Linked DNA regions of Coturnix japonica. The protein of the gene in region 2 purifies or fractionates together with the protein of the main gene of each other region. This does not show direct contact. Links are inferred from orthologs where the notes say so. Each region holds a gene or a part of one and is shown on either strand. Other genes may lie near its edges. The genes, in order: ZMYND19, ARMC8, MAEA and HTRA2.

Evidence for each region.
Region 1: the proteins of ARMC8 (region 2) and ZMYND19 purify together in Homo sapiens (affinity purification with mass spectrometry; 4 studies listed by BioGRID and IntAct, with this or other methods). This does not show direct contact. The link is inferred for Coturnix japonica from reciprocal best matches to the Homo sapiens genes ARMC8 and ZMYND19.
Region 3: the proteins of ARMC8 (region 2) and MAEA purify together in Homo sapiens (affinity purification with mass spectrometry; 5 studies listed by BioGRID and IntAct, with this or other methods). This does not show direct contact. The link is inferred for Coturnix japonica from reciprocal best matches to the Homo sapiens genes ARMC8 and MAEA.
Region 4: the proteins of ARMC8 (region 2) and HTRA2 purify together in Homo sapiens (affinity purification with mass spectrometry; 5 studies listed by BioGRID and IntAct, with this or other methods). This does not show direct contact. The link is inferred for Coturnix japonica from reciprocal best matches to the Homo sapiens genes ARMC8 and HTRA2.

The regions. Positions count from the first base shown.
Region 1 is NC_029532.1:875,182-883,152, reverse strand, and holds the start of ZMYND19 (zinc finger MYND domain-containing protein 19), read right to left. Parts: upstream 3,971-7,971; 5' UTR 3,882-3,970; coding exon 3,831-3,881; intron 3,671-3,830; coding exon 3,611-3,670; intron 2,760-3,610; coding exon 2,653-2,759; intron 464-2,652; coding exon 323-463; intron 1-322. Other genes in the region: protein STPG3, read left to right, coding at 4,449-4,452, 4,542-4,621, 5,299-5,404, 6,346-6,476; RPL12 (60S ribosomal protein L12), read right to left, coding at 6,958-6,963, 7,055-7,167, 7,662-7,748. UniProt on the Homo sapiens protein: May be involved as a regulatory molecule in GPR24/MCH-R1 signaling.
Region 2 is NC_029524.1:2,441,184-2,448,379, forward strand, and holds part of ARMC8 (armadillo repeat-containing protein 8), read left to right. Parts: intron 1-145; coding exon 146-221; intron 222-311; coding exon 312-402; intron 403-3,944; coding exon 3,945-4,005; intron 4,006-5,046; coding exon 5,047-5,247; intron 5,248-7,196. UniProt on the Homo sapiens protein: Component of the CTLH E3 ubiquitin-protein ligase complex that selectively accepts ubiquitin from UBE2H and mediates ubiquitination and subsequent proteasomal degradation of the transcription factor HBP1.
Region 3 is NC_029519.1:76,605,731-76,612,926, forward strand, and holds part of MAEA (E3 ubiquitin-protein transferase MAEA), read right to left. Parts: intron 3,812-7,196; coding exon 3,689-3,811; intron 1,237-3,688; coding exon 1,160-1,236; intron 1-1,159.
Region 4 is NW_015439533.1:473,191-481,089, forward strand, and holds the end of HTRA2 (serine protease HTRA2, mitochondrial), read left to right. Parts: intron 1-819; coding exon 820-1,288; intron 1,289-1,513; coding exon 1,514-1,546; intron 1,547-1,843; coding exon 1,844-1,952; intron 1,953-2,491; coding exon 2,492-2,561; intron 2,562-5,453; coding exon 5,454-5,549; intron 5,550-5,827; coding exon 5,828-5,993; 3' UTR 5,994-6,203; downstream 6,204-7,899.

The DNA.
Region 1 (7,971 bases), on a different chromosome or scaffold from region 2:
CTGCATGAACCGCAGGCTGAACTGTCCCCAAATGCCACCATCCAAGCAGAAGGGAATGCAGGTTTCCTGCTTGACTGTGGTGACATCTGGCAGAGCAGAACCTCTACATACTGCCATGGGGTGAGATCGACCCTTCGTAGCATGGTCAGCACTAACTCTGGTCTTTCTCAGATGAGCAATGTGAAACTGCGATGCTATAAGCAGCCCGAGGTCAAATAAACGGGCTCAGCCAAGATGGACAGCACTAAACAGAAGAGGTGAAACAACTGAAGATGTTGGCAAGCATCATTTGATGGCATCTCCCCACCAAACATCAACACACCTTTGTTTACTGGAGAGATCCTCAGCTTTGGGTTTCCACCCCCACGGGACGAGGCGCAGATTGTCGAGCCGGTTGTCCACAGTGACTGAATTCAGATGCACCACCTGAAATCCCGGAGCGATCCCCCCGCGGTGCCTCTCCCTGCAGGAAACAAAACCATCCTGAAGCTCAGCAACGAGCGATGCTCCGCAGCCCCAAGCACTGCCCTGATTCCAGGAGGCCTCCTAGTCTGCTGCCATTGAAACGGTGACGATACAGCTCGGGCTGCAGTGGGTATTTCAGCTGTATCAGCTCCCAGAAGACAGAGATCTGTTTCAGGAGCTCATTTCCATTATAAATTAGTTGACTCAGAAGACAATCCTGGTACATTTGAATTCTAAGAATATTGCACAGAAACCTCCAGAAACCATCATTCCAGTTTCAGCACCAGCACCCATGTAATTATTAATGTTACAGCTTGAATGGAGCTAATATTGTTTTACTGTTTTAATATTAATAGTTTCTATTATATGTTCAAGTTTGGCACTGGCGTGAGTCAGTTTTTCATTTACTGAGTACGTCTCTTAAGCAACAGGACAGGGCTTTCACCACCAAACAGGCGAATATTTTTGACTAATTGTGAATAACAGACAGCCTGCAATGCCTGCATATTGACTAAGAGAAACTACTGCAACTTGCTTGAACCCAAAGTAGGAACAGCTGCATATTAACTCACGCCAGCCTGGATTTAGGGAAGAAACCAAGAAGAAGCATGGAAAAGAGTCTGCTGAAAGGGGCTGATGGAGCATCAGGTTTGTCCCTTTAGAGTGAGATTCTGAGGAAGGGGATGCACAGGACAGGTGGAACACCTGCACTCCGCTACATGCAGTAACTCAAGCTCTCTGCTTCTCCTTCATGCAGGAAATGCAGCTGTGATGGGTGCTGCCACCCATCTCCCTCACGGGGCCCCTGCAGCCCTGTCTGCTGTCCCAGAGCTCATGCGGGGGATGGTCCTTCAGCTCAACACACTGCAGGTTTGTTTTCAGAACAGCTGCAGCACAAGGAGAGCAGCACAGCGTGCTGATAGGAGGGTCAGCACTACGCAGCACCTGCAGCCAAGAGGCTTCTCAGAGATACAAGGAGGCTCAGGCAGCAAAGCGCACCGAGCTGCCTCGTGGTAGCGTGTAATTAAAGACCACAGCAAAACAGACGCCTTCAGAGGGACCAAACCAACTTTAGAGAACAGCTGAAATGCTCAGTGCTTCCCAAAGAACCTGACTGTATCTCCAGACCTGCAGGTTGGCTTGCAGGGCAGCTCACAGCTCGCCTCCAAAAATCCCCATCACTCAGAACCTCGGGGGTTTGACACCAGCTTCACTATGGTGAAGTCACACGATTTGAGTTACCCAACTGAGCATGTTACAGCTGTTTCCTAACAGAAGTCCAGCTAATGAGAGAGGCAATGACTGAGCTGTACGCAAAGCCCTGCACACGCTGGAGCAAGGCAAGCACTGCAGGCTCTGCTGTGAGCTGCACAGTGAGCAGGGGCTGACAGCCCCACTCACACCACACAGTGCAGCCAAATTCTGACTCATTTCCAAAGTTGTGTACTGTCAGATTAAACAATAACAGAGCAGGTTAAAATCCATATTTAATGAGCAGATTTAAAATAAGAGTAATTGTGCCTGGCGTTTTTCCTGCCTCTCTCATCCAGGGACTGAGCTGGGGGAGAACAAGTAACCTCAAGCAATGAAGAAAGTACAGGGAGATCTTGGGTGCTCTTTCATTACAGTTTATGGGACTGAACAGAAAGCATGTTTAATTCTTCAGAAAAGGCTTTTAAAAATAAATAATGGTTCTCTTCAACATAGCCCAGCTTTCCTATAAACCCATGAAGAACACATTTACAAAGTGCCTCTGACAACCAGTTGCTGGGCTCTGAGTCCTAATGGCAGCTACAAAGAACTTCAGGCAAAGCTCCCTGCCACAAGGGGAGCAGACACAGCAGTGTAGGAAGCAGCAGCACCCTTCAGGATCCAGAAAGACGAGCAAAGTCCCCTAAGTTGTGGGCTATCAGCTGCTCTATCCACAGTCTGTCACTTCTCACCTACCTGCTCATCTCAGGACAGAAGAAGCCCCAAGTGAAGATTCAGTCGCATTTCCCAGATTGAAGCAACACAATACTCACCTGTAACCACCCTCCCTAGAAATAACATTATTGGAGCATCAGCTATCTCAGGGCACGGTGCAAAACAGAGCCAGGCCAGGGCATTGCAGCACTGCTCTGGGCTCTGAATGAGGCCCCAAATGCTGTGTGCAGTAACAGCCCCGGGCCCTATTGTGATACCCACCAGAGCAGCTCGTGCAGCAGGCGGCCGGATCCCCTTCCACGGTTTTTGTCAAAAGCGTAAGCAAATATTTTAGCACCATTTCCATCAGCATCCACCTCCATGCGAGCCTGGAGAGAAGGGGAAGAGCGTGAGATCAACTGGTGCTGAGCAGCAGAGAGTGAGCTGCAGTGGGACAGCGGTAGGGACAGGCAGCACCTCCCACGTGTCCACAGGACACTGAATTGCCGTGGAATTGTGCTTGTTTCAGATCTCCAGCAAGAACGAACCTCTACTGCTACGGCTCCATGGGATGGTTGTGCTGACATGGACCCCAAACCCCCCCAGCTCAGGCTGCCCAGGGCCCATCCACAGCTTTGAGCACCTCAGGACGGGCACCCACCGCTCTGGGCAGCGCTGCGGGGCCTCACCGCCCTCTGAGGAAAGGATTTCCCCCCAGATCAGACCCGGATCTCCTCTCCCCCCGCCCCACGATGGAGGTGCTGGACCCCCCCACAGCTCCCCCCCTCTCCTGGCCGGACGCAGCGCCGCACGTGGGGCCTCACTATTGTCACTATGGCCGCGCGGAGGAAACGCGGCGGCGCTCAGCACAGCTCGGAGCTCAGCACAGCGCTCAGCACAGCGCTCAGCACAGCGCTCAGCACAGCGCTCAGCACAGCGCTCAGCACAGCCCGGCAGCGCTCGGCCTTCCCAGCCCCGGGGGCGCGGGCGGCACCAGCAGAGCTCGGGGCGGGACGGATCCGCTCCCACGTGCGGAGGGAACCTCGCAACTTTCCCACTCCGACAGGGGGAGCGCCGGGAAACGGGCCGGCAGCGCTGGGACGGGAACGGGCGGCGGGGACGGAGCGGCGGGTCGGGGCTGCGGGGCTGCCCGGCGGGTCGGGGGCTGCGGGGCCGGGGCGGATGCTGGGGCGGGGAGCGGATCCCTCGGGGTCGGTTCCCGGGGCGGCGCGGGGCTCACCTCGAAGGAGAAGCTCTCCACCAGCGGGATGTCCTGCTCGTCGATCAGCGTGTACTTGGTCTGTAACACAGCACCGCGCTCAGCCGCCGCCCCGCGCTCCGCCCGGCCCAGCTCCGTGCGGCCGAGCCCGGCCCGACGCTCCCGGCCGCGCCCCCCCCTCGGTCCGTCCGTCCTCCCGCCGCGTCCCCCCGTCTCCCATCCCCATCCCATCCCCCCGCACCTTCCCGGCCACGCGGCCGAGCCGCACGATGCCCAGCTTGAAGTCCGTCATGGCCGGGCCGCGCCAACTCGGAGCCGCGCGCGGGAGCCGCTGCCACGCGCCGCCGCCAGGCGCACACCGGGGGGGGGCGGGGCGGCGCGCCACCTCCCAGCGCCACACACACACAGCGACCAATGGCGGGGCGGGAAATGCGCGCGTCGATCTCACGACGACGCCGGAGCGGCCAATGGGAGAGCGGCGCGAAGCGGGGTCACGTGGGAAAGGAGGGCGGGAGGAGCTGGATGGGGGCGCGCGCGGGCGCGGGTTCGGGAGCGGGAGGAGGCGGCGCGCGCGGTGACGTCACTTTCGCGGGAAGCTTTGTGCCGCCTGAACGGAGGGAGGGGCGGGGCCGGGGGGGTAACGGGGGTAAATGGGCCGGGAGCGGGGCGATGCGTTATGGGTATAGCGATAAATAGAGCGAAACTTGGAGGCTGGGGGGCACAGCGAAGCCCCGAAGGCCTGACAGCGGCCTGGACACAAAGCGGGGGCTGTGCGCGGGAACCGGAGCGAACGGGCAGCACCGAAAGGCCGGGGCTGCTGCATCCAAACTAGTGACCGGATCCGGGCAGAAGAGGAAACATGGGTAAAATATGGGGGATGTGGGGAAATAAATGGGGCCGTGGGCAGCGCTCACAGGGCTCAATACGGCTCCTCCCGTCTGTCCTCGTACAGATGCATCGCGCCGCAGTGGGAAGAACTGTCCGAGCTCGGGGCCGGCCAGCAGGAGAGTGAAGGTGGAACATGGATTTAATGTAGGTTCTTACTGTGTCCGTCCCTGCGCCTCCTGCCTCGGGAGTTTGGGTGGGATGAAATGAACCATTGGCAGAGCAGGGGCTCTGCTAAGGCTGAGGTTAGCGAGCACCTTAAAGCTCTTTAAACTAAAGGTGCTTCTGAAAGAGGCACCGCTCTGCCGAACTGCCCTCCCCATCAGTGATGATCATTGCAAACCTCAGCTGGAATGGAGCCAGCCTGGACAATGGTGTTTCCCCAGGTCCCCCCAACACAGCAGTGTCCCCATCGCAGCCTGGGGCCACTTGGAGATGTTCTTTCTTACACAAAGCCAGAATCTGTTGCAAGTTGTGTTCTTGGAGAGGTGAGGAATGTGCTGAATCCAAAGCAGAGCTCACTTGGAGAGCACCAAAGCCTCCTTGCTTGGAGCCTCCAAGTCAAAGAGTTAAAAATAAGTGTCTGGGATGTTGCTCTTTTGCTTTATTCCCTGGTCCCCCCCAGAGAAAGGCCCTACAAACAGCTGGAGGAACAAAGGGCAGCAGAAAGCAGGAGAGCTCCTGCAGCTGCTGATGAGGCTGCATGAGATCTTACAGACTGATAGTCGGGGCTGGGATGTGTGGTACAGCTATAGGCTGATGTATAGGCTGTTTGAAGGAATAGAAGGTAATTTTGTGTTATGCCTTTCTCCATTTCACTGCAGCCCTTGTGCAGCCTGTGCTGCCCTCAGCCTGACGGAGCCATGTACCCACCCTACATCAGAGAGCAGCGGACAAACCTGGATGTTCTCAGGAACCGTAAACCTATCGGTCAGCACAACCCCCCCCACCCAGCCCAGCCTTCATCCAGGGACCCTGGCAACCCCTTGTTGCAGCTGCACATCCCACTCCTGCCCATGAGCCCAATGTGAAGTTATCGCACTGCTGCTCAATGAGCATCTCAGGTGGAAGATGTCCACCTTTGGGAAGCTCTGTCCTTCTCCCCACTGGGCAGAGCAGCACAGAGCAGAGCAGGCACAAGGCCTTATCTCAGCAGCCTGTTGTCCAGTCATGTGCAAACAGGTGATTTCTCCTGATCTCCATGCTAACATTATGTACATTTTATGCTTCACAAGCTGTACGAGATGCATTCCTAGTGCATGACTGCTGTGCACTCAGGCAGCGTAGCCCAAAGCCACACTTCAGGCTTAAGCAGAATCTTGGGAGGAATTTCATTCCCACTCCCTTCAGAAAAATAGCTGTGCACTGAGAAGGCTCCTCCCCACCCCAGGATGCTGGTGGGGCCGAAGTGAACTGTGCTCATAACACCACTGTTAGCAGGGCTCAGCAGCACCCAAGTCAGTTAAAGCATTCAGATCACCAGGATTATTCCACTTCAGCTTTGTACAGCCTGACATCACACACCATCCCTGGTGCTGTGCCACCCCAAAGGAGAGCACATGGAAATAGAGCAATGCTAGTTCTAACCCAGGAACTTCAGAGAACATTGGTTTCACCTGCACGCTGCAGCAGTACCTCACTAACAGCTCCACATCACTCAGGTGTGAGCACCAAGCATCAAACCCTGTCACATACAATGCACATCAAGCCCAAAGCACCTCTCCATCACAGGTTGGTTATGTTGTTATAGCAGAGCTTGGAAGTTTCTTTACACTCCATCAGATGGTTTGGAGCAGCCTGGCCAGGTGGCACTTGTTTTTCACAACTCCCAAAGGGAAATACCAACACAAATTGCCTCTTTTTAATTTCAGAGACGCCAGGACCTGGAGCATATGATGTAGACCCAGGCTATCGAGCTTGCTTACCCAGCTCCCGCAGCATCACCATCCAAGGAGTCAGGAGACCCAAGAGACACGACATCGGCCCCTTTACAACATTCTGAAATAAACTGCAGAATTCCACCCCAGCCACAACCTCTTCAGTAGTTAAAAATACACAGGAGCTCAACCTCAGTCTGAATGGTCTGTATTTTTTTCTGGTCATCAGAAAACCCTGGTATAAATTTCCTGATAAAAGACACGAGAAGTCTGAGCAAAGAACCTGCACCAGGGATGCCCACACTGCCACCTAAGCCAGATGTTCCCCCTGCTGGCTGAACGAGGCCAAGCTCCATCCCATCAGGCACAAATGCTGTAGCTGCCAGCTACACTTGGCACTAAAAAGCAGCTCACAAAGCTCTCCAGTCAGAGGTGTTCGCCATTTGCACATGGGAATGCTTGCTTGAACCAAGTCCACTAGCAAAATCCCACATACACAGAACTGGACAAGGACAAAAGCAGTGGTACTGTTAACAGCCTGGTGTTTTATTAAGTATTTAAGGTGCTACAGAAGATGTAAGAACCTTCATATGGCAACTTTTCCATTTAGCTCTGTGGAGAGAAGAAAATACAGCTCATTAGTAGAGATCCCTTTTAGTAAATAGCTTAATTACAGCAGTTTCAGCTAGAGGTTGATACTTACAGCTGGGCACTCAATTGCACCACTATTGATGTCATCAATGATATCGTGTGGGTGTCTGCCATCAATGCTGCATCCCACAGACTGAGCAGTTCCAAGGATCTCCTTAATTGTCCCTGCAGTTGGAAAACACAGCTTTAGCACAGGGAAAACCCTGAAGAACCATTAGATAGCTCAGTTCCTAACTGCCTCAGCACTCCCATGCCATCTACCATCACCCAGTTCAGAAGGTGACAGCACACAGCCTACGCCAGCTAGAGGGCACTGTTGATAGAAAGCTCCAGAAAGCACTATATGCTACAAGCAAACCGAGTGCCTAAGGTGCTACCTACTACTCAGCCCCATACAATGACAGGAGTAGTACTGCAGACAGCTCAGGCTCCCTCAGTTAAGTCCTGCCATGCACTCATGCCTTGCAGCTGGCACTGCTTTCACCAGGCAGTAAGAGGATGGCTGCTGCCATATGATGTTACAGCTGTTGTGTCAGCACAGACAAGCTGTAGGAGCTTCACCCCACCAGTAATTAGGTTGTACCAAGAATCAGCCAAGAGCCTGAGCCACTCGGATCCCACAGCAAGACTCAGTCCCATCCCTTAAGGTCAGTACTTACCAGACAGCTCTCGAGCCAGAGATCTGTGCCTCATCTGCCGGGCGATGTTCACTACCTCATCAAAGGTGATACTGCCATTGTGCTTTACTGTGAAACAAAGCAATGGCACCAGTGAGCTCAGTGAAGCACAGTGCAATTCCAGCCCCCCATTCTCCAACTGAGGAGCAGCATTCCTCAGTTCACACAGAGAGCCGTAAGGTTACAGCTACACTGGGGCTGTGATCAGTGCTGCTGTTCCCAGCCTTCGGCACAGAGCTACCCACAAGAAGAATAACTCTGTTTCCTAGGTTGGCATTTTCTCTCAGCTCAC
Region 2 (7,196 bases):
AGATGTTTTATCTGCTTTTTATCCATCTAAATTTCTTACTGGTGATGCAGAATTATTTCTGCTGCTTTGTACATCAATACAGTCCTGTTTTACTTTTAAGTTAGCATTTACATCTATGCTTTATTTATTGTTTTTTTTTAAACAGGTTCGAATGCAAGCCTTGAAATGCTTCTCCGTTCTAGCCTTTGAAAACCCACAGGTATCAATGACTCTGGTAAATGGTAAGTATAATGCAACCGCTGCTTGTTTGACACTTACTTTATTGACTGATTGAATTAGTATCACTTTGAGTTCTCTTCCATTACTTACAGTGTCGGTTGACGGAGAACTGTTACCACAAATCTTTGTGAAGATGTTACAAAGGGACAAGCCTATTGAAATGCAGCTCACATCAGCCAAATGGTAATTTTCATCGGGAATTGGAATGCAATAGTGTGCAATCTAGTACTTCTTAACTTTTGGTTTTATCCTCGCTGCATGCGAGGGAACTAAAACTTTAGGTAGGAATAATGAAAGATGTTATTTGTATTACCTAGATACTTGAAATATTGTTATCACCTAGTCATCTTATTTTTTCTTGAGCATAAACAAGAAAAAAACCACCTCTGTTTTCTTCAGTTGAACTGCAGTTTTCTCAAGTAGCTTGAATTTGATTATAAGTTTTATGTTAAATAGGTTATAGTCAGTAGTTTGTCCTTACAAAGTATAATACCGAAATGTAATTGTGTACTACCAGATAATGTGCTTGTTACACCACTGTCCTGAGAGTTTGCTTTGGAGACTGTGGCTGTGGTGTATTGAGAACAGTAAGCCCTCTCCTAAAATAAGAAGAGAGCAAGACACTCTCTCAAATGGTTTAATTAAGCATAGATTGTTTTTTAAACTTCATATGTTCATGCAACAGAATTAGTTACTAATTTATTTTAAAGTTCATCTCTCAACTTTCCCTTTTGATATGGGCAGATTCCTGTATGTTCATGTACCTAATGACTTTGTACCTTGTGACAAAATGTGACTGAATTCTGTAACATTAACACTAGGGTTTCACACTCGATAAGCTGGGAGCTAACTCTGCTTAAGACCCTTTTTCTTCTCTTATATTGATGAGATGGAGTAAATAAATGACTTCAGGTGTTTGAAGAGATATGTCACTATGAACTACTAAAATCTAACATGATTTGAGTGTTTGGTCATTGATTATTTGATTTGGTCTCCTTTAATTCTTTCCATTTACAGCTAGTCCAGATTTTAGTGGCTTATCTTTGGCTTACAGCAATGAGTTCTCTCATTCTATTCACCAAAATAATTTCACTGACACTTGTCAGAGCAAAGGCTTGAGTTTCTGGCTGAGGAATAAGGATGGGGGGAGTAGGAGGATGGTCTCTTTTGTCACGTTGCCAGGTTGTGGCAACTTAACCCATTCATGAAAGCAATTATAAATAAGTGTACGTTTGGGGAGGATTGTTTTAGGAAGGTAATCCCACTGTGTGGTGGGAGGCTGGACTGGGGGCCTCCTGCATTCCCCTCTAGCAAATCAGGTTTTCTTCAGGTACTGAAGGGGAGGCAAGGTAAATCAACTGTCTTGAAGAAGTCTGTTGTGATCGATTTGTGTTTCTTTGGCAGTTCAGAGAAAACAGAGAATTAGGGTTAAAAAACCGAGTTCATGAGAACAGGTTATTTTTTTTAACTTAAGATACAAGAGCATCGGTTAGTTATGAAGGCAAATTGCAGTTAGAAATCTATTCTGGCTTTGGTTTCTTCTTGTTCTAGGATAAACGCTCTCAGATATGTTGGTATTCTTTACTAATCTGCTTTGATTTGGAGGGATTTGGCTGGAGATTCTCTCATTTTTGGCTCAAATGGACTTTTGAAAGCACAGAAGAAAAAATGTGCAATGAAAAGCAAAAAAAACCCTACAAGAATGAGGGGAACAAACCAGTGTCTTGTGCTTCAAGAGTGGGCTCCTAATTAGCCTGTGGGCAGCCCTCTTTCCTAGGGCACTGAAGGTATCAGTTTCATGACAGTGTAAGGACTTCAAAAATCTACTGGCTTTTCTTCTCTAAATCTGTTCCCTGCTTGTATCCCTTAAAGTAAGTCTGTATCTCTCTTCACTCCTACTCCTTCTAGGCTGGAGTAGTAGGTGAAATTGTAACTGCTTTTCTGATAAAAAATTAAGACTTCACTTTTGATGTGCCAGCTTTTGTTGATTAACGTGGGATTCCTCTCTGGTTTATTGGTAGAGTCCTTAGAATACAGAAGTAGAGTTATTTTGGTGAATTTCTGAAGCCTTCTGCTAAGCTGGTTTTAATCTACATACTGGTATACAGGGATATCTGAGGAAGCTTCCTTTGCTTTTCAACTGTTCAAGTAGACCTGGAAGATCTGACTTAATACCTCTTGATTGAAATGGAATAAGGATCCTTCATTTGAACGGTGATTTTGGCAAAGAGGGAGCAATAAGTCGGCCTCTTGGGGGAGTGATTTGCACCTATAAGCAGAACAGTTTAGAGAAGAGCACCTTTTCTACTGAAATTAGTGTAATTGCTGCCATCTAAGCCAAGCCTATTTATCTGAAGTACTTTAACTTACTTTGTGTTCGAAGTTGAGTCAGTTTGTCCTGCAAACAGTATCGTAACAGGAATTAATGGCAGCTGCAAGACTGGTGTTCTCCTCCTGATTGTTCAGACGTGGAAATCAGTATTTCCAGCTGTAAGATACAAAGTTTGAACAGAAAAGTTTAGAAAATAATCTCTGTGCTGCCGAGTTGTATCTGTTTAACTTCTGAGTCATAATAGCTAAAATCTCATAATCAGTGCATTTTTATTCACGTCTTTCATTGGTAGACACTTGGAACAGGTTAAATGATGTTATTAAAGATGTGGGAACTCTGGGTTCTTTTAAAAATCATAGGAATGCAGTGAAACATGGTGCTATTAAGGTTGGCATATTATTATGGGCAATTGTGATTGGCCTTATATATGGTTTCAACCAGTCCAACCAAGAATTGAAATGGTAGTTTTAAGTCACCTTCTTTAAATGGCAGTTGGTGGTTGGTTTTTTTAACCTCCCACTTGCGACACAATAAAAGCTAGTTACAATGGCTTAGTTTGAAAGCTAAAACAAGGTACTTGACTACTCCTGTACTGAGTCTCCTAAATTAATGCCAAGCTCAAATATTTCTGCAGATGACACCAAGCTGGCAGGAAGTGTTGATCTGCTTAGGAAGGCCCTACAGAGCCATCTGGTCATTAGGTACATGAACATACAGGAATCTGCCCATATCAAAAGGGAAAGTTGAGATCTAATGGAACTAGTGATAGGACTAGAGGGAATGACCTCAAGTTGCACCAGGGAGATTCAGGTGGTTGGACATTAGGAAATACTGCTTCTATGAGAGAGTGATAAGGCACTGGAATGGGCTGCCAGGGTGGAGAAATGTTTGAATGTCGTGCTGAGGGACGTGGTTTAGTGGGAAGTATTGGTGATAGGTGGATGGTTGGACTTGATCTTGGAGGTCTTTCCCAACCTTGGTGATTCTATGACTTAAACTGTCAGCCCTCCGTTGACCCTCTCCTTATTAGTCCTTTCCTGTGCTGTGGGCAGTATAGGACAGATCTGTGCGTATTGCTGTTTTATCCTAGTGAACATAGTTAACTTTGTTTTGTTATTGTAAGAGATTTGTACATCAGTCGAGCTTCTTGGTTAGTCCTTTTTTTGACCTGTGTGGTGTCCGTGTTGGTCAGTGCTCCAGCAAGATGTTCTGTGCTATAAATCTCCTTGCAAGTGTGTGTGTTGTAATTTGGTCATGTGCCTACAGTTAGCTCAAATGTATGAAAATCAATCAAAAGGGGAGCACATTTCATTAGTACAGCGGGTTGTTCTGCAGTGTTTTAAGTGCTAAAAACCAAGGATAAGTGAATTTATGTTTTATTGTGTTGTCACAGCCTTACTTCCATGTGCAGAGCTGGAGCAATACGGACAGATGACTCTTGCATCGTTCTTAAGGTGAGCTAGTTAGACAATTCTGTTTAAAACAGCATTTCTATAAGGATCTACTCCTGTTTTTATTTGTCTAGTATAAAAAGTAGTGCAAAGCCTGTTAAATAGGTGATCTCAAAGCACCAAGTTCTAATGATAGTAATTAAACAAACAGTTGTTCCCTAATTGCCTTAAAACACTTATAGCAGTGTAGCTCTTGTAAGAACTTTTAGATACCAAAATGTTGATATCCAGCAATAAATATTCCAAAGTTTGACACACAGCAGTTTAAGGTTTGTAATGATGTAAGTAACTGTTTGTAAGTAACATGGAAACCACATCCCTACCTTGATCTCTGCATGCGAACAAGGCGCTGTTATCTGTTTCAGAAGCAAGTTTCAGAAGACTGTAGTCAAGACAGAAGACAATAGTCAAAATGCTTGCACAGTGTATAAAAGGAGCCTGTCAAAATCAGGCTGTTCCTCAAATTTCACAGTAGTTTTGTAAGTTTGTCTGAACATCAGTGCTTCATAACTTGGTTAGGGTTGGGAGAGTTGTCTGCAGCGCGTCAGGAACTGTCCCTATGTCCAGTGTTCTGGTAATGCAGGGGAAAGGGCAGTTTCTTTATAAGATGCTGCACTAAGAAAACACGTTTCAGTGTTAATCGCAGTTGAGTATGGTACATTTACACTGTTTGCTAGGGGGAATTTCGTATCTGCCATTCAAGGTAATTACAGGTGAAAGTCCTCATGTTGGCAGAGTCAAATTTCTATCTCTCCCATCTTTTTAAGCGGATATCCAAAATGCAGTTCATTCCAGTATCATCAGTGTCAGTAGTGACATCTGATCTAAACTCTTTTTCACTGCATGAGAACTTGGTTGAAAGTAGCCTAATGTATACTCAGTATTGCCTGAACAATTTCTCTGTAGTCTTTAAAATACTTTTTGTCTGAAGGTACCTGTTCAAATAACATTACTGAGAATTGCTTTAAAATAGCTGTTCGAGTTTCTTTATGAACCTAGCTGTTCCAAACAGTATTTTGTTTTTATTCTTTTTAAACTCATCAGACTCTGCCATGTTTGGTTCGAATGTGTAGCAAGGAGAGACTGCTGGAGGAACGAGTAGAAGGAGCAGAAACTCTGGCCTATTTGATTGAAACAGACGTGGAACTTCAGAGAATTGCCAGCATTACTGACCACCTCATTGTCATGCTTGCCGATTACTTCAAGTATCCCAGCTCAGTGAGTGCAATCACTGATATCAAAAGGGTAGGTTCTTCTGCTGAATCTTTGAAAAACAGTAAGAAATGGGCTCAAGGTGTTTCTTTATTCTGTTTAGCTCAGCCTTATATCCAAGTTCTTCAATGGAAAGGTTGCCAGACCTAGGCTAGGCCATGACCCTAATGCAACTAGGCCTCAAGTCTTTGTTCATTCTGGAGCCTGTAATATCCAAACAAAGAACTTTGTGTATATTTGGGCTCTACATCTTGTAAGAAGGATTTTGCTGTTCTTTGTGGAACACAGGAAGATGGTTTCTGGATAGTTTAATGCAGCTTCTTCATAGGATTTTCATGACATTTCCCAATGTAGTAGTGAAATACTGGACAAGGGCATCTGTCATGTTGCTCATGTGCTGAGTTTACAAGTTTACAGCTTCAGGAGCCGCTGCATTTCGTCTTCATAAGAGATAATAGTCCATGTGATGTGGATGGTGTGAATTCATAGGTGAAGTTGTGGAAAATGTTAAGTTCAGAGATGGTTCTTTTCTGTTACGCAGAAAAACCTGGATGCCCTGTATATCATTTCACGTTATCTCCCAGATGTTATCTGCACTTGCAAGAGGTTGGATAAACAATGATCCAGTATACCTTGGAGGCTTATTATCATAGGTGTTTTAGGAGCTGTTCTATTCCCAGCTGTATATACACTTACCAAAGCACTAGTAGATCAGTCAGTCTTGGAAACAGGATTGTTCTTGATATTCCTTGTAGGGAAGTATCGTTTGTCAATTCCCTTTTTCTCTCATTCAGTTTAAAGAAAGTACCCCAAAGAAGTGGATTACAGAGCCTTTGTTTTTCTTTGAGACTGTCCCCAGGGGTGGACACACCTCTCAGGCTTTCAAGGGATTGAATTGATTCTGCACGTACAGTTGCTTTTAAGTAGATGTAAAAATGCAAATTAAATATTAAAAAAACTGTTGGTTGCACTTTAGATAATAAGCAGAAGGAAAATGAGCATTTGACTGGGAAGCAGTGAGTGTTGGTGGTAGCATCAAAAACATGGCAAAGGTTCTGAACAGGAGTGATTATAGGTATTATGACATGGCTTTAAGTGTTCAGAAAGTCTCTAAAAATAGTCACCTGGAATGGCAGGGTGCTTGTTTGGAGGAGAAGGAAAAAAACTCTTTGAATTACTCCCTAGAAGGTAAAAACAGGATGAGTGTGGACTTTACTGAACAGATTACTTATTGTTGTTAAAATATTAAAAATAGACATAATACATTCTGCTCTAATGGTGTATCTGTACCAGGGGAAATTGTTCGTACAGCTTAATTTTGGACAGTTCTTTCATACCAATAACTTGTCGCTTAATACTGGCATTTTTCTGGCATTTTGAGTAGGCTTAAAATGTTGCTCTGTTATGTGGAACCCTTTGGGTTGGAGTTTGCAAGGGTGTCAATCATAGAGCAACTCTGCTTGGTAAGGACATGAAGGGATTGTCTAGTTGGCTATTGAGAACTGCTAACAATGGTGATTAAACAGCTTCTCAGTGCATTCAGTTCCAGTGTTCCCCAGGTGAATATGAGTTAGAACCTCACCTGTTCCAATCTGATTATTGTCTCCTCTTTCTTTGCACCTCCATAGAGAGTCCACCTTCATGTTCTTTGTAGTCTTCTTGAGGTGAAGGCTGCTCTTATGTCTCTGCTCAGCCTTCTCTTCTCCTCGCTGACAACCAGGGTGTTCTCTTTCAGCTAATGCAGGTCTACTATCCCAAAGTCAAGGCTTTGTATGTATTCTGCTTCTTGCCTTGCTCACACCTTGCAGGAGCTGGGATGCCACTATTATCCCTACAGCCAAGTGTTCCCACTTGATTATCATACCCAGTACAGTTGTTCCTGATTTGTGAGTCATGTGTCCCGTGATGCATCACCCTAATTCACTTGCCTAGAACCTGTGTTGTTACCTTCCCCAAACATCTAGGCAGTTAGCACTTTGATG
Region 3 (7,196 bases), on a different chromosome or scaffold from region 2:
GCAGCTTTTCCACAAAATACAAACCTCCTGCTGGTTTCAATTTCTAGTACAACTTCAAAGGCAGTAATACTTACCACTTCCTCAATATAAAACTTGTCAGAAATCTTAAGGTGTAACAGATATCACTGCACTGTATTAAAGAAGCATGAAATCTGTCCATAAAGCTTGTCATCTCACCCTAGGTTTAAATATCCTTAAAGATAAAAAGAACCAGAACCTTCTCCATGTCTAAGATCCAGCAGCTCTGCCCCTGCATCAAAAGTTACGGTGCTGGAAAAAGTACTCCTTATAAGAATTATCAACACATTTTATAGTCACACTATCAAATTTCCACTTCTTTCAGCAGAACTGGTTCCTGTATTATCCTGGAATATTATTTCAAGACTTTACATCAAAACTGCAAACTGAAAAGCATAAATTGACTCATAGACTGTAAGTGCCAGAAAGACCATCTTGTGGTTGAAGCCAGGCCATGGTCAGACCTAATTTGACTCTCACTCATTCACATCACCTTGGGCAGTGTTATTTTCTTCTCAAAGTTCTAATGTTAAACTAGTTCAAGCGATAAAATGGATACTGAGTTTATCTGGGGCTAGGGAAATGGAATGAGACATGACTTGTTATCACATAACAAGGAATTACCAAGTTATCCATTCAATACAAGAAGTACAAAAAGCAAACTTAGCCTAATGCCCAACTATAACAAACAAGATTAGTGAGAACAAAACAGGAGACAATTCAGTCAAATGAAGTGTTAAGCTTCAGATGTGTTTCTTTCACCTTTTAGTACTTCCTGTAACAAAACTGCAATGAGTTCCTACCAGAAACTACCTGTACATCTTGAAAGATAAGTACGTTCATTACACACCACCAGAATACTTAGTTTTAAAACCAGCTTTGTAATCCTTAACTGTGGAGTCTGTGGAGATGTGGAGTTTAAATAACAACAGATTTTCAAAGTTGCACCTGGACTGACACCTTACCTTTGGAAAACACAAAAAAACACCATAACCTCAACTAAAATCCAAAACCTGATCACAATAACACTATCAAGACTAGTGGCAGCTATGGGGCTTTCAGGTATTGCAATAACAGTCACATTACTGATGAAGCATTCTATTGCTGTAAGAAACATTTGTAAAACATCCTGTTTTCATACCTCACAGCATCCAGTCTCTTGTTCTGTCGAATGAGTTCAATGAACTCCTGAATCCTTAGGCTGAACTCCAGACAGCTCTGAAATCAAAGACAAGACAGGGTCTCAGATGGTGTCAAAACCATGCTTTTCTCCAGATGTTAAATACTATGTGTGCACAACAAAGAAGTGTTAACTACATGCAACCTTGTTTGCTTGCTTTTAGGTATTCATGCAGAGAAAGTAGAAATGCTGTCTACAGACAAGACAGCAACACAATTCCCTAAAAGCAAACAAAAAGCTCCTTCCAAACTTCAGTATTTACAAAAAGTGAACATTTCCTTGATGACTGAAATCATCATTTTTTGGGATGCAAGTAAGAGTAGTAGGTGAGTTCTCAGTACTATCTTAAAGTTAAAAGCAATAACTCAGTAGAAGGTTGGGGCCGATTTAAGACATGAGAGATTGACCCAAAAGACTGCAAGGAAGAAATAAGTCTTTAAACTCATTCTGAAAGCACCCTCCTCTTATGAAAAGCAGCACTGAGTCTAGACTGCTGTGGTCCTTCTCTCCCCAGCTCCCTTTTTTCCAAGCTTCTAACCCACTGCTGTTGTCAAAACATCTAAAAGCCATGCTGAAAACAAATCTCAAACAAGGAAACCAAGTGACATTTACCTGCTTGGGGAAAATATAATTTGAAGCTTAATGAAATTGACAGTGTCTCTTTAAATCAAATTTCATCATCAGTTCACAAAAAATTCTGTATTAAAAATTTTATATATATATAGAATTAAAAAGGTTCTCCCTCCTAAAAGAACAAGCCATTATGCCTCTATATAAGGACACAGTCAACTATTTTATTACCCTAACAACCAAAAACTAGAACCCTTTCTGAATCCCAAAAAATAACTGTGTTTTTGAATTACACTGAGTTGCTCTGTTAGGCAAATCTATTTTCTGTTCCCCAAAGCTTCTGATGAACAGTTGCCTTTTGTTTATCATCCATCAGTACAATACCATCCAAAACCCCTCAGTGACTTCAGGAGGAATTTGAGCAACTCCAAATTTCAGTTAATTAACTGCATGGGGTCTCTGATGTGCACATTACAGCAATTTCTTGTCTTGAGATTAGAAATGTCAGCTGCTTAAAGTGATACGTTCTGTCCTGTTAAGGTACATTTGTTTAAGGAGTGGGAAGTACGTTACTTTCCAAGTACACCTTTCTCTGTGCTCAAGTCCATGGTTTGCAAAGAACTAAGATTTCTTTTTATTTGCAATTTTCAAATAGAACTCAAGATCTTTTGTTCAGATCTACACAAAAGCCTTATTTAGAATATTGGTTATGTTGGTTTCTATTAAAGAAAATTAATAAAACTTTCCAAATTGTTAATGATACCAATCCCAATGGCTCAGTTATTTCATTAACATGTTTCAGCAGTAAAGAAAAGTCTCACAGCTCTCCCCTACCATCCCCCAAGAAAACCCAATCTGCAGAGACTGTCTGAGTAGGGCTTGCAGTATTTTTCTTCCATTCTCAAAGGATGACAGGGAAAATTTTTATCCTTACTTGTTTGGCAAAGATCAGGGATGAAAAAAGATATTCGGCTGTTAATTTCTTCCATAACTTGCTGTATTAAAATTATATAGATACATATGTTTTCCCAGTGGTATAGCTATGCAATGCTGTTTACATGCCAATTCTGGTTTTCCTTTAATGGTTTTTCCATTAAAAGATCATTTTCTTTAGGGTAATCACTGGTCATTTTACTCTTGTGTCCCATCTTTGGTTCATTCTCATTTTGGTGCCCGATTGACAGAGAATGTCACTCATTGCTTATCTTTAAGGATACTTAAATATCTTTTCCTTAAAGAAAGCTTAGTTTGAAAACACCAAAACCACTGAAGGAAGTAGAGATTCTGATTAATACAGTCAAACAGATTTCTGCAAGCCCTGAAAGAGACTATAACGTTGTTTTTAAATGTAGAATTTAAGAGTCAAGGAAATTTAAACCAACTGCACAGGAACACAGTGAAATAGCATGTTCAGGTCACACTCAGTACTCAATAGCTAGAAGTCAACTTACCGTGTTTGTTACTCGATAAGACTTGCTTTTATTTTTGCAAGAAGGTCCTCAGTACTTCCCTCATAAAAAGCTACTTCTTCACTCAAGTCTGCTTAGTTTTATATTTACATATATTGCACTTCAAAAATATTAAGACAAATCCATATGATATTCCTCTCAGACACAGGCTTACAAATTAGTCTCACTGTTCATATATGAACTATGAGCTACATTCTCAGCTGGATACTGAGTGCTATACACACAGATTCACATGCTCTGAGACACTACTACACACATCGCATTAAAGTTTGGCATTCATTTGGGCTAGCTCAGCACCAGTAACCTTAACAAATACATTTTGTACTTACTTCCCTTACTTTTACATATGGCTTTATTCACAACCTATAATTTAAACCAAATTGACCATATCAAATAACCAAATACTTTAGAGAACCGCTGCTTAGGCAAAACATTGACATTGTTTTCATACCTTCATTTTTCTGAGCCTGGATTTGTTATCATGACACCAAGCCAAGCAAGTCATAGTCTCTTGTCTTTCCAATGACTCTTCCACTTCTTTAGCAGTCAAAAACATCTCAATATTTACTAAGTCCTTTAATAGAAAAGAAAAAGGAAAGCACAGCTTGTTAAATCATACTGATATTTTACACAGCAATCCATTTAACCAACTGGAGCACGGAGATATAAAAGACTGTTTCAGAGACATCTTTAAAGGACTTTACTTAAAATTTGCTGTAACAATTTTGTGAACACCGCATCTCCATGTGCCAAGACAGACTCTTCTAAACCCATTTATGCACCAGAACTAGGAAAAAGAAATAAAGATGACATCTTGGAGCTTTGCGAGGAAATGGACAAGATCTCACCAGCTGGGTGTAAATCCACATTTCCAAGAATACTTGGTATCCACAATGCTTGTCTTACATCAGTGGACTATGCCAATGTCTATAGTATATAGTTCCTCCATTGCTTAATGGAAGTAGATATGTTTAAAGAGGAGCATCTGGTATCAAGTTTGTCTGGAGCAAGCCTTGTACCTCTGCTACTTCACTGCAAGCTGCTTTACACATCTGTACCAACCAAGGATAACACAACCCAGGAAGATTTAAGATCTTCTAGGCTAGCAAGTTATTTTTTCCCATATATATCTCAAAAAGCATTTAGTTTGTTTCCAAATTATATGAATAAGATTCACTCTGAACTGGCACTACCAGAAGTTATTTCTGAGCTGCATAAACATATCATGCTGTTACAGTTCACACTTTGTTAAAGAAGATACTCTGTGAGATACCATAACTCAATACACAAGCAACAAGCCGCTATCAAATATTTGATTAACACACCAGTTTGGAACAAGTTCACTTTTATGGAGACTTCACAGCAAAATGCAGAAAATCATACAACTGAAATGCTAAGTATGACAAATGTTAGAGTAGCTGCAGTGAACCAAACCACTCTCTGGAATAGGTGGCATTTTCAGCTGTTAGAACAGCTGAATATATTCAGTCTTAGACTTCCCCGAGGCAAACTTAAAAAGCAGAGAAATGGTGCCAGGCATATCACATTCACAGCTTGCATTTCATCAGCCAATTTTTCCTTATAGATACAGGAAGCCTCTTACTGGAAAAGCAGGCCAGATTGGACTAGTTTTGTCAGAATGGTTATTTACAGAGATGCAGACATGTTTCATGTACTTCTAAATTAGAGTGTAAGTGGTTAAGCACAAAAACTTCTCCTAAAGTTCTCTCCATGACTTAAGAATTCGTTTTTGAAGTCATAGGCAAAGTTTATGTGTTACGACTCTAACAACAGCATTATGCTATCAAAAAAATTAAACTGACATATAACTCTCAAGTTACCAAATCCAGATAAGATTGAGATCAGAGCTAAAGTAGTAAAGTAGTAGCAGTTTATAGAAGGAAATGAATCTTGCCCATGTAAATCAACTGTATGAGCAATCTGACATTCAATGCCACCATATCCATTATCTTGTTTGCCTATTTCTCCATACAACTGTTAAAAATGACTAGAGTTAAGAACAGCATTCCCCACACCAAGTTACATGCACCCCCCTTTAGTAAGCAGCATTTATTTTCACATCAAATTACAACAAAATCATTTACTTCTACTTTCATAATGGTCTAGATATGCAAGGTATACCAAGAAATCACTGGTTTTGTTGTTTTTGTTCACATTTGTTGGCCTTTTCTGACTCCATCAAAAGTATGGTGTGTTTTTGAAGATTCACATAGGCATTATAGGTCAATGAACTGGTGAGAAACCCAACCAAAAGCATTTATCAGTGAGGTGATAGTATAGCAATCTTCAGCTATTCCTTGAGGGAAAAGAGGTTGTAGCAGCTGCTGAGAACAAGAAGAACTTCAAAGTGAAAATAACTCCTACAATCCTTTTGCAGACTTAAAATAAAAAAGATGCTATTTGGTACAGACACATCAATTGGACTTGTGTCTGCCAAAAAGGTGTCAAAGCTTGGCAGCTGCCTCCATTAAATAGACAGTATGTATCCAGAAAACAGAATATTTTTAATTGAAAGGTTTTCTTTTGGAACTACCACCACATTTAAATTGTTCCAATAAATGTTTTTGTTCTCTGTTGAGTAGGTAGGAAGTAACAGAACAATATAAGAAATCCATTTGTGGAGAAAGAAATGGCTTATGGATTTGATAACCAACAGTTCTAAGTCTTAATTAAGCACACTAGCAGAATAAGAATACTAAAATTCAATCAGGCAATATACTTGAAAAAACCTACATATGCTACAGTGACTTATATCTGATCACACTTCCCTATTTTGGTTGTGCCTCCACAGTGTATTTCTTTAGCTGTTGTTAATGAAATAAAAGTATGGAGCATGGAAGGACCATGTGGCTTTAAAATGGCACAGGTCTTCTGTGCAGGTCAACACTATGTTTTGTAGAGAACTACTCCTATCTCACAGCCTGCATATAAGCTATAAAGCAATTTTAAGTACTCTAATTATCATCTTCTACAACACTGCAAAGTGTTTCCTCATTTCACAGCTTCAGTTTCCACACTAAAAACCAAAAGATCACAGTATTTTATTCCCAGACTGCAAAGTTACAAACAAGGCCTATGCTGCACAGCGTTATCAAACCACAACATACAAGCACAACTCCAGCCTCCCATGTATCTCCTTGATAGCACTGCCTAAATTAACTCACAAAAGCAGAACACTTAACTTTTGATAGGAGGACTAAGTAATGGCAAACCTACATCTAAGTAGGACAAAAAGCCCTCTGGCCATAAATATTAACAACAATTACACAATGAAAGCAGTAGAACCTTCCTCTTCCTTCTACACAAAGCAAGGAATTATCAGCTATATTTTATTGTTTCTGCTTATAACTATTGGACCCAAGGCAACCTCACTTCCCATCTACCCACCAGGTACCAGAAGGGTAACATCTAAGCACTGGATAAGCATTATCACAAAGCAACTATTCAATTCCATTATGATAGTTTAAACTTCACAGAAAAAAAAATAACCTATTACAAAAATATCACACCCTAAGACTGAAGACACTTATGTGGAACCTGACACTTCTTTATACATCTATCCATCACCCTGTGCTCAGCATGATTTACATATATATAGCTTTTAAACTTCACTACTTTTTATGCTGCATGTGCTCACAGGGAGAAAAGCCACCAACCCTATAACACTGCACAGAATTTCAATAATTAAGGTATAAAACACTGTGAAGAATGAGGATTCCTTTCCTATGACAATTACTACATATATTCCGGGCCAACATAAAAACCACAGCCCTATAAATGTATTTTTCTTTCTCTGAGACAAGTTCTGGGTAAGAACATCCCCAAGCATGTACATACACGTCCAACTCCTTTGAGGGCATCCTGAGCTCTGATCACTGTCAGCAGGAGCTGACTGCAGTAGAACACTGGGCAAAGACTGAGAACCTTGGTTTCTCACC
Region 4 (7,899 bases), on a different chromosome or scaffold from region 2:
CGGCACCACCCGCTGCCGCGCGGCCGGCCTGACTTACGGTCACCCTGCCCTATGGTCACCCTGCCTTATAGTCACCCTGCCTTATTGTCACCCTGCATTACGGTCACCCTGCCTTATGACCGGCCTCAGTGTCACCTGCATGGGCACTGCAGGCGCTGCTGGGAGCCCTCAGTTTACAATAGATGGTACCATGTTACTGTGGGCCTGGAAGTGTTTTCCTGCAGCGTTTGCCCCAGGCCGTTCCCAAAGGCAGAGGGTGAAACTGGCCGGTACTTGGGCCCCGGTGTCCTCACGTCCCCGTTGTCACGTTGCTTTGATGCCTTTTTTCATCAATTTAGAGCCCCCCTGAGCCACTCTGACTGTTTGAAGGTCACAAATAGACTCACAGGGACACCAGCTCACCCCGTGTGGCCCTCACAGCAAAGCTCTGTGTTCAGGTTGTGTCTTTCCATAACCTGAACTGCTTATCTGTCCCAAAGACACCAATGTCCACCGCAGCTCTTTGTTAGTGTGTGCTTCCCACTGCACCTCTGTGGTCCTCATGGGGAGACGCTTTTGCCATTCCCATGGATTTCTGGTTCCTGCTGCTTGCTGCCCCATAGCGCACACAGTTGTGCAGACTCTTGGGATGGACACCCAGCGCGGGGCTGTGAAGGAGCTCCCATGTCCTGCTGTCATCCGGGCATCTCCTCACAGTCTCCCGCTGCCGTCCAGCCCACCATGCTGAGCCATGCAGCTGCCCGCTGGCCTGGCCTCACACATACCCACTGGTCCCCTCTGGGCCCCCATGTCCTCCCATGACCTTTGCCCACCTTGCAGGCACCCATTCTCAGGCCGTGAGGTGCCCATCTCGAACGGTTCGGGGTTCGTGGTGTCTCCTGATGGGCTCATTGTGACCAACGCTCACGTGGTGGCCAACCGGCGCCGTGTGCGGGTGAAGCTGGCCAGCGGGGAGCAGTACGACGCTGTGGTGCAGGACGTGGACCAGGTCGCAGACATTGCCACCATCCGGATCAAGCCTAAGGTGCGGGGCACTTTGCCCAGGGGCTCCCTTCCTCTCCCGCCTTCTGCTTACCCGGTTCCTCTCTTCCAGCACCCGCTGCCCACGTTGCCCCTCGGCCGCTCCTCTGAGGTGCGGCAGGGAGAGTTCGTGGTGGCCATGGGCAGCCCCTTCGCCTTGCAGAACACCATCACGTCCGGCATTGTCAGCTCCGCGCAGCGCGGCAGCCGGGAGCTGGGCCTGACCGCCTCCGACATGGAGTACATCCAGACGGACGCCGCTATCGACGTAAGGGCGCAGGCTGGGCTGGAGCTTCGTCCCGCTGCCTGCTCTGGGGAAGGGCTCTGTGTGCTGTGAGGTCTGGGCACAGCAGGCTGGGAGGAGGGTGCTCCTGGTTGGTGATCTGGCTGTTTCTCAGCCTGAGCCCTGTTCCCTGGGCTCTGCCTGCTCACTGTGGGGTAGTGTTTGAGGTTTGCTTTTGTGGCCTCATTGCTGCTCTCTCTGTTGTTCCAGTTTGGGAACTCTGGTGGTCCCCTCGTCAACTTGGTAAGTTCTCCTGCATGTATCCCAGTGGGCCTTTTCTCCTGGGGCTGTGTGCCCTCAGTGGGAGCACTGTGCAAGTATCCTCAGCTGTCAGGAGGGAAGGAGGAACTGTGTGCTCTCGGCATCTTAAAGGGTGGGATCAAGGAATTAGCGTGGGGTGAGAGCTCTGCTTGGTGGGACTCATCCCTGCCCGGCCTCAGCAGGGTCAGACTGCCCAGGGGGGGACGGTGCGCAGGCTTTAAGTTTTGCACAGCTCCATAAAGGTGCAGGTTGGAGAACACGTTGCCCTTTTCCATGCAGGATGGCGAAGTGATTGGGGTGAACACTATGAAGGTGACATCAGGCATCTCCTTTGCCATCCCCTCAGACCGGCTGCGGAAGTTCCTGCAGAAGGAGGAGCAGCGCAAAAGTGAGTTGGATGCCTCTCTGCTCGGGTGGGAAGGAGGCCAGAAGGAGGGTGATGACAGAGGGAAGAAGCTGTGGCATAGCTGACATAACAAGACATGGGCATGTGGGCAGACATAACAAGAGGAAGAACCTTTGGAGAATAGGAAGATTCTCCCATTGGGCATGAGGCAGTGAACCCCTCTGCCATGGCAGATCCATTTGCTCATCTGCCACAGATAAAGACTTCCAGAGTTTCCAAGAACTCTGCCTTGTTTTTGTTCCTTGGGGTTTGTGATAATTTGTTTAGTGCAGATTCTTGCTGTCTGGTTCTCACATTGACATCATGATATTTGCTTGGTATTCTCAAGCAAAACAGTGATGTTTTAAACCAAGAAAAGAAAGCATGCAATGCACTGAAATTTTCTGTTGGTAGGGACTCGGAATCACTCGGAATCACTGCCTTGAGGCGTGTTGGCTTTGTGATGTGCTGGCTCAGCCCCGTGCTTTTTTGAGCACATGTCTGTGTTCAGTGTTGTTGTCAGAGATCCTTTCTGCCCACAGGCTCCTGGTTTGGCAACGCGGAGACGAAGCGCCGTTACATCGGGGTGATGATGCTGACTCTCACACCCAGGTACGTGCTCTGAGGTCAGGGGGCCCTGATCTTGCTGGGAGTTTTTGAGAGGATCGTCTTCACAAGGTTAAGTGTTCACCTTCAAAAATCTCTTTGCTGCTCTTGTGTTCAGACTCGTAAGTTGTGTGTCTGGGGTTAGTTAGAAGCTTGCGAATGTCTGTGTTTGTGGCAGAACCTGCAAGCAGATAAAAAGTCTCTAAATCTGCCGCATTAGTAGCTAATTTCATTAGGAGTTCCATAAAGAGGCTTTGCAACACAGCTACCAGAAATGTTGTGTAATTAACAGACGTGTGTTGTACCAACTGAAAGTTCTGGTGTAAAATTTGTGCAAACTGTGCTCCCTGGGGGATGGGTCTGGCAGGTGAACTGCTGTGCTGCTGAAATCAGGGCAAAATAAGGGACCTTCAGAATGAGAATGTGCACGTTTGCCTGCAAGAGATTTGGCTGCTGGGGAAGGAGGTAGGCACGTTACAGAGTGGGCTGTGTGGGTACCCAGCGCTGCTGCCTCTCAGTGCTGGCAGGAGGAAGCTTGGGGGCTGCCTATGGAAAGAAATGGTCGTGCTGAGCAGGACAGCACTGGAAAATGGAAGGGGGTGACTTGCAGGCCTGAGACTTCACCATCCTGTCTGTAGCCTGGGAGGAGCACTTTGTTTCCTCTGCATCTGAAGAAATGCTCTGGTTAACAAAGGATTGCAGCCAGACTGCAGCCAGACTGCTTGCTTCAGTTCTGCTGGCCTCCAAGACACACGAGCCAAACACAGCACCCCGGGGCAGATGCCCTGTGTGCTGTGTTAGATGTGCCTTGCTGAGTGCTGGGCAGCCCTGGTCAGGCCTATGAAGGGCTGAGCAAGCCCTGAGATAGAATTGCCACTGCTTCACACGGTCAGCTGCTCACAGCCTCCTAGGTGGAGCGGTTGGCTTGCAGTCTCACCTCTGAGCAGCTTTCCTGTTCAAAGGTATTGTGTGTGCCTGAGCAGCTCTCAAGAGATTCCTGGGGCTCAGTATGTTGCTGGGGTTGGTGGCTGCATGTGCCTGGCAGAAACATATTTCAGGGCTGTGCTGTGCCCCTGCCAAAGTTCCGGTGGCTCCTGTATGGTTGGTTGAGTTTGTGGGCTGGATGCCACGAGCTGCCCGGGCTTGTTATTGGTACACAGGCATGAGGCGCTGCGCTGCCCCTTGGATTTCAGGGCAGCAGTATGAGCGGGGAGCACTGCCAGCAGTGCAGTCATGCCCAGCAGATGGTGCTCGTGCTCAACGTTGGAGCTGATGCCGGGGCCTAGGGAGCAGACAGGACAGTCTGCTGCATGGGGTGGTGGCGTGGAAATCAGGCTGTGGAGGAGGTTCAGATCCACCAGTATGAACAGAACTGAAGCCAGAGGCAGGTACTGTCATCTGAGAACAGAGCCCATATAGGTACCCCATTTTTGCCCATGAAAAGTTGTTGCTGAGATTCAGATGGTTCTTTAGGGAGGAGAGGAAACAGCTGGGGAAGTGTCTCCTCAAAGATTGATACAGGGTTGAGGAAGGCTTGAGCTCCCACTGCCCTGCATTACAGCATGCAGCAGGTGCAGACTGAGCAAAGGACTTTGAAAACAGAGATACTGGTTGCTGGAAATGAGTTCTACATTGAACAGATGCAGTGCTGGTGAGGGATGTTACCGTGGAGACATTAAAACATGTGGGTTGCTTCTTCATGCTGTGTGTGATAGGACTTGCTGATTTTGTAGGATTCAAAAGAGCAAGTGGCAAACGTCACAGAAACAAAATGTTGCTGGTTGTCACATGCTCAGGAGCAGCTGGAGGCACAGTGTCACCTGCACAATGTCTGTAGATGCGCCCTTGGTCTGAGTGACCTCTGTACGGGGGCTGGCTGGGATGGAGATCATTGCTGTTTTAGCATCTTGTATGGTACCATGGTTTGGATTTGTGTTGATAACAGAGTCACAGAATCACAGCACAGTTGGGTTGGAAGGGACCCCAAGGATCACGAAGCTCCAACCCCCCACCACAGGCAGGGCCACCAACCTCCCCATTTCATACCAGCCCAGGCTGCCCAGGGCCCCATCCAACCTGGCCTTCAACACCTCCAGGGATGGACGGGGCTGGTGTAGGACCAACTCCCTTCCAACCTTGTCTGTGCTGTAATGCTGTGACATCAAGAAGAGATGGCAGCTTGCAAAGCTCAGTGGGGGAAAAAGAAGGGCAGTGCAGTTCAGCAGGGACTGCTGCAAAGCAAGGAGGCATAACCAGTGGGGAGCAAGGAGCTGGGTGCTGTATTTCATGGGGTTCCAGTGGATCTGAGCTGGTGCAGAGGCTGTTTACTTAATGCACAGTTGTGAGATCCAGCTGGAGTGTTGTATCCAGTGCTGGAGAACCCAGAAAGGAGCAGAGAGAGGTGCAGAATTGAGAGCGAGGGCTGGAAAACCTGATCTGAGGGAATACTGCAGGGACGGGGGCTGCTTAGTCTAGACTCCAGCAGAGAGACAGAGGTCTACTTCTGCTTGACATTTCTAGCTAGAACAAAAGGACATAGCTTTCCTTCTGTGACCTGCCCACAGGACAGGGAAGTGAAACTTAAGGACAGGAGGTGCAAATCTGACACCAGGAAAGCTGTCTGATGTGGGGCTGCTCAGACACAGGACGTGCATCGCCAGCAGCTGGGATCCAGCTGGCAGCAGTGCAGCAGTTTCCAGTTCTCCCCAGCACAGTCAGGATTAGTTTTTGTCAGGAATCTGGTGGCATTGGAGTGACCTCAGGGTTGGCAGCCGGTCACTTGTGCAGGGGAGCAGGATGAGAGTTCTGCGGCATTATGAGCCCAGTGTGGTCCTGGCTGGGTGGGAGCCCTGCTCTGCTCCCAGGCTCAGTACCGTGACGCTCATTTTCACTCTGCAGCATCTTAGCTGAGCTGAAGCTGCGTGACCCCAGCTTCCCTGATGTCTCCTATGGAGTGCTAATCCACAAAGTGATCATCGGTTCTCCGGCCCATCAGTAAGTGCTGCCCTGTGCCTCGGGGTGGGATGGGTTTAGCTCTGAGGGTTTTGCTGTGGGGCCTGCAGAGCAGGCAGGCTGCAGCAGGAGCCGACTGGTGCAACATGCTTGGGCTGGGCTTGGCATCCCTTTGGCCAAACTACCTGTGGAGCTGAAGGAATGCCTGGCACAGCAGCCCCAGCTTCCTGAAGTGCCTGGCTCTCCTTCCTTCCTGGAGGACGAAGCCGCAGACAAGCGTCTGCTTCACTTGCCATGAATTTCGTTCCTTCTCCCCTCAGGGCAGGCCTGAAGGCTGGCGACGTGGTGCTGGAGATTAACGGCCAGGCGACGCGCCGTGCAGAGGATGTGTATGAGGCAGTGAGGACTCAGCAGAGCTTGGCCCTGTTGGTGCGGCGCAGCTACGACACTTTGCTGGTGAGCGTGGTGCCCGAGGTCACAGAGTAGTTGTGCTGCAGCGCAGGCCGCTCTGTCTGCTGGCTGATGGTGCTGGCCAGGAGCCGGGCACGCAGGACTGAGGCACAGCTGTGTGCCCATAGGGGAGAGACTGGGAGCTCGCAAGGGCCTGGAGGGGCCCGGCAGGGGGCCCGGCACTGGGACAGACCTGGTGTGAAAGCACTCCCCTCCTTACTCAAATAAAGCACTTTTCTAAGTGCAGCGTGGCCTCTTTTCCATGGCACACGATGTCCTGAGTGTGACCTGGGAGCAGCTGGGCTGTGTGAACCTGCTCCTCCTGCCATTCTGCAGCTGGGAGGAGCAGCGATCTCCTTCGTGCTCGGGGAGAGGTGTACTGTCAGATCCTTGGCACTTATATGTGGGCTGTGATCTGCTTCCTCTGCCCATAATGCCTCCTGGGGGCACCTTCTCTGCAGGTGAGAGCAGCCCTGGAGTTGCAGAGGGTCGGGGCTTCTTGGGCAGAGCCATCCCTGCCTCCTCGTGCAGGCTGAGCTGCTCCCAGCCAGAGTTCGCTGCTGTGGCCGCTCCCAGGAGGAGCTGGCTGTTGTCCTGTGGGTCAGATCACTTCCACGTGGACCAACCACTCCAGTGTCAGTGTCCGTCTGCACTGAACGCAGCCCCTGGGTCACAGGGGGAGGATGTTCAAGTGTCCCGGCTCATCCAGCCCAGGGCCCGGCAGGAGCAGCGTGCGGGCAGCCGGACGCGCAGGGGAACCTGTGCGAGCTGTGCACGCTGCGCTGGCGCCGTCCGTCTTTCCCTCCCCATCCCTCCCCCAGCTGGTCCGTCAGCCCGGAGCGCCGCGCTCCCACGCACAGCGCGTCCCTGGGGACCCGACAGGCCCTTCCCCGCTGCCCGGCTCCCTCCCCGTCCTCGGCAGCTGGCGGCCAAGAGCTGCGCTCAGAACGAGCCGGGGGAGCAGCTCGGGCTGTCCTCGCTTTCCTGGAAGAGCCGCGCTCCGCTCCAGCTCAGCGCGCTGCCAGCGGCCGCGGGAGGCGGGGAGCGGCGCTGTGCGGGGCTGTGCGGGGCTGTGCGGGGCTGTGCGGGGCTGTGCGCTGCTCGGAGCTGTGCGGGGCTGTGCGGGGCTGTGCGGAGCTGTACGGGGCTGTGCGGGGCTGTGCGGGGCTGTGCGGTGCCCTGGGGCTGTGCGGGGCTGTGCGGTGCCCGCTCCGGCGGCAGGAATGCGAGCAGCGGCCGCGCTGTGCCCTGCCCTGGTGCTTTAGGAGATGAAAGGAGCACAGTTCCTGGGGGGGCTGTGGCGGAGGGCGGCTCTGAGCCCTGCGGCCCGAGACAGAACAGGGCTCCTTTCACGCTCCCTCTGGCCTCGCCGCTGGAATTTGTTCGCCGGCACAACCCGCCGCGGGAGGGGCTGCGGCGCAGGGGAAATAGCTGGGACGTTTCTCGCATAGCTGCTCCAGCAGCGCTGACCGCAGCGCTTTCCAGGGCCGCAGCCAGGACCTGCCCTGCTGCGCTCTGCAGACAGAGCTTCTGTCCGAGTGATGAGCGCTGCGGGATCTGAGGTGGCCCCACTCAGCTGAGTCCTGTACCCCACATCTGCCCAGTCTCAGTGGCTCAGTGGGGCTTCGTTCCCCCATCAGCCCCGTGGGGCCGCTCCCTGTGAAGGCAGCCCGGAGCTGCAGGCCCTGTGGCTCACACCCGGTGGGGCTGCCGGGAGGTCGCACTGCTCGGGATTCCTGCTGCATAACATCTGTGTTGCATCTGGCGTGGGGCGTCCTGTGCTGCCCCGTGTCACTACTGAGCCAGGGTGGCCCCATCTGCTCCCACTGCCGTGGACCTTCACAGCCCCGAGGGCTGCTCTGGAGCATCGCTGGGCCCCTGCAGCCCCTTCAGTGCCCTGCAGAGGGGCAGCTCCTCTACCCCATGCCAAGCAGCCCCGCTG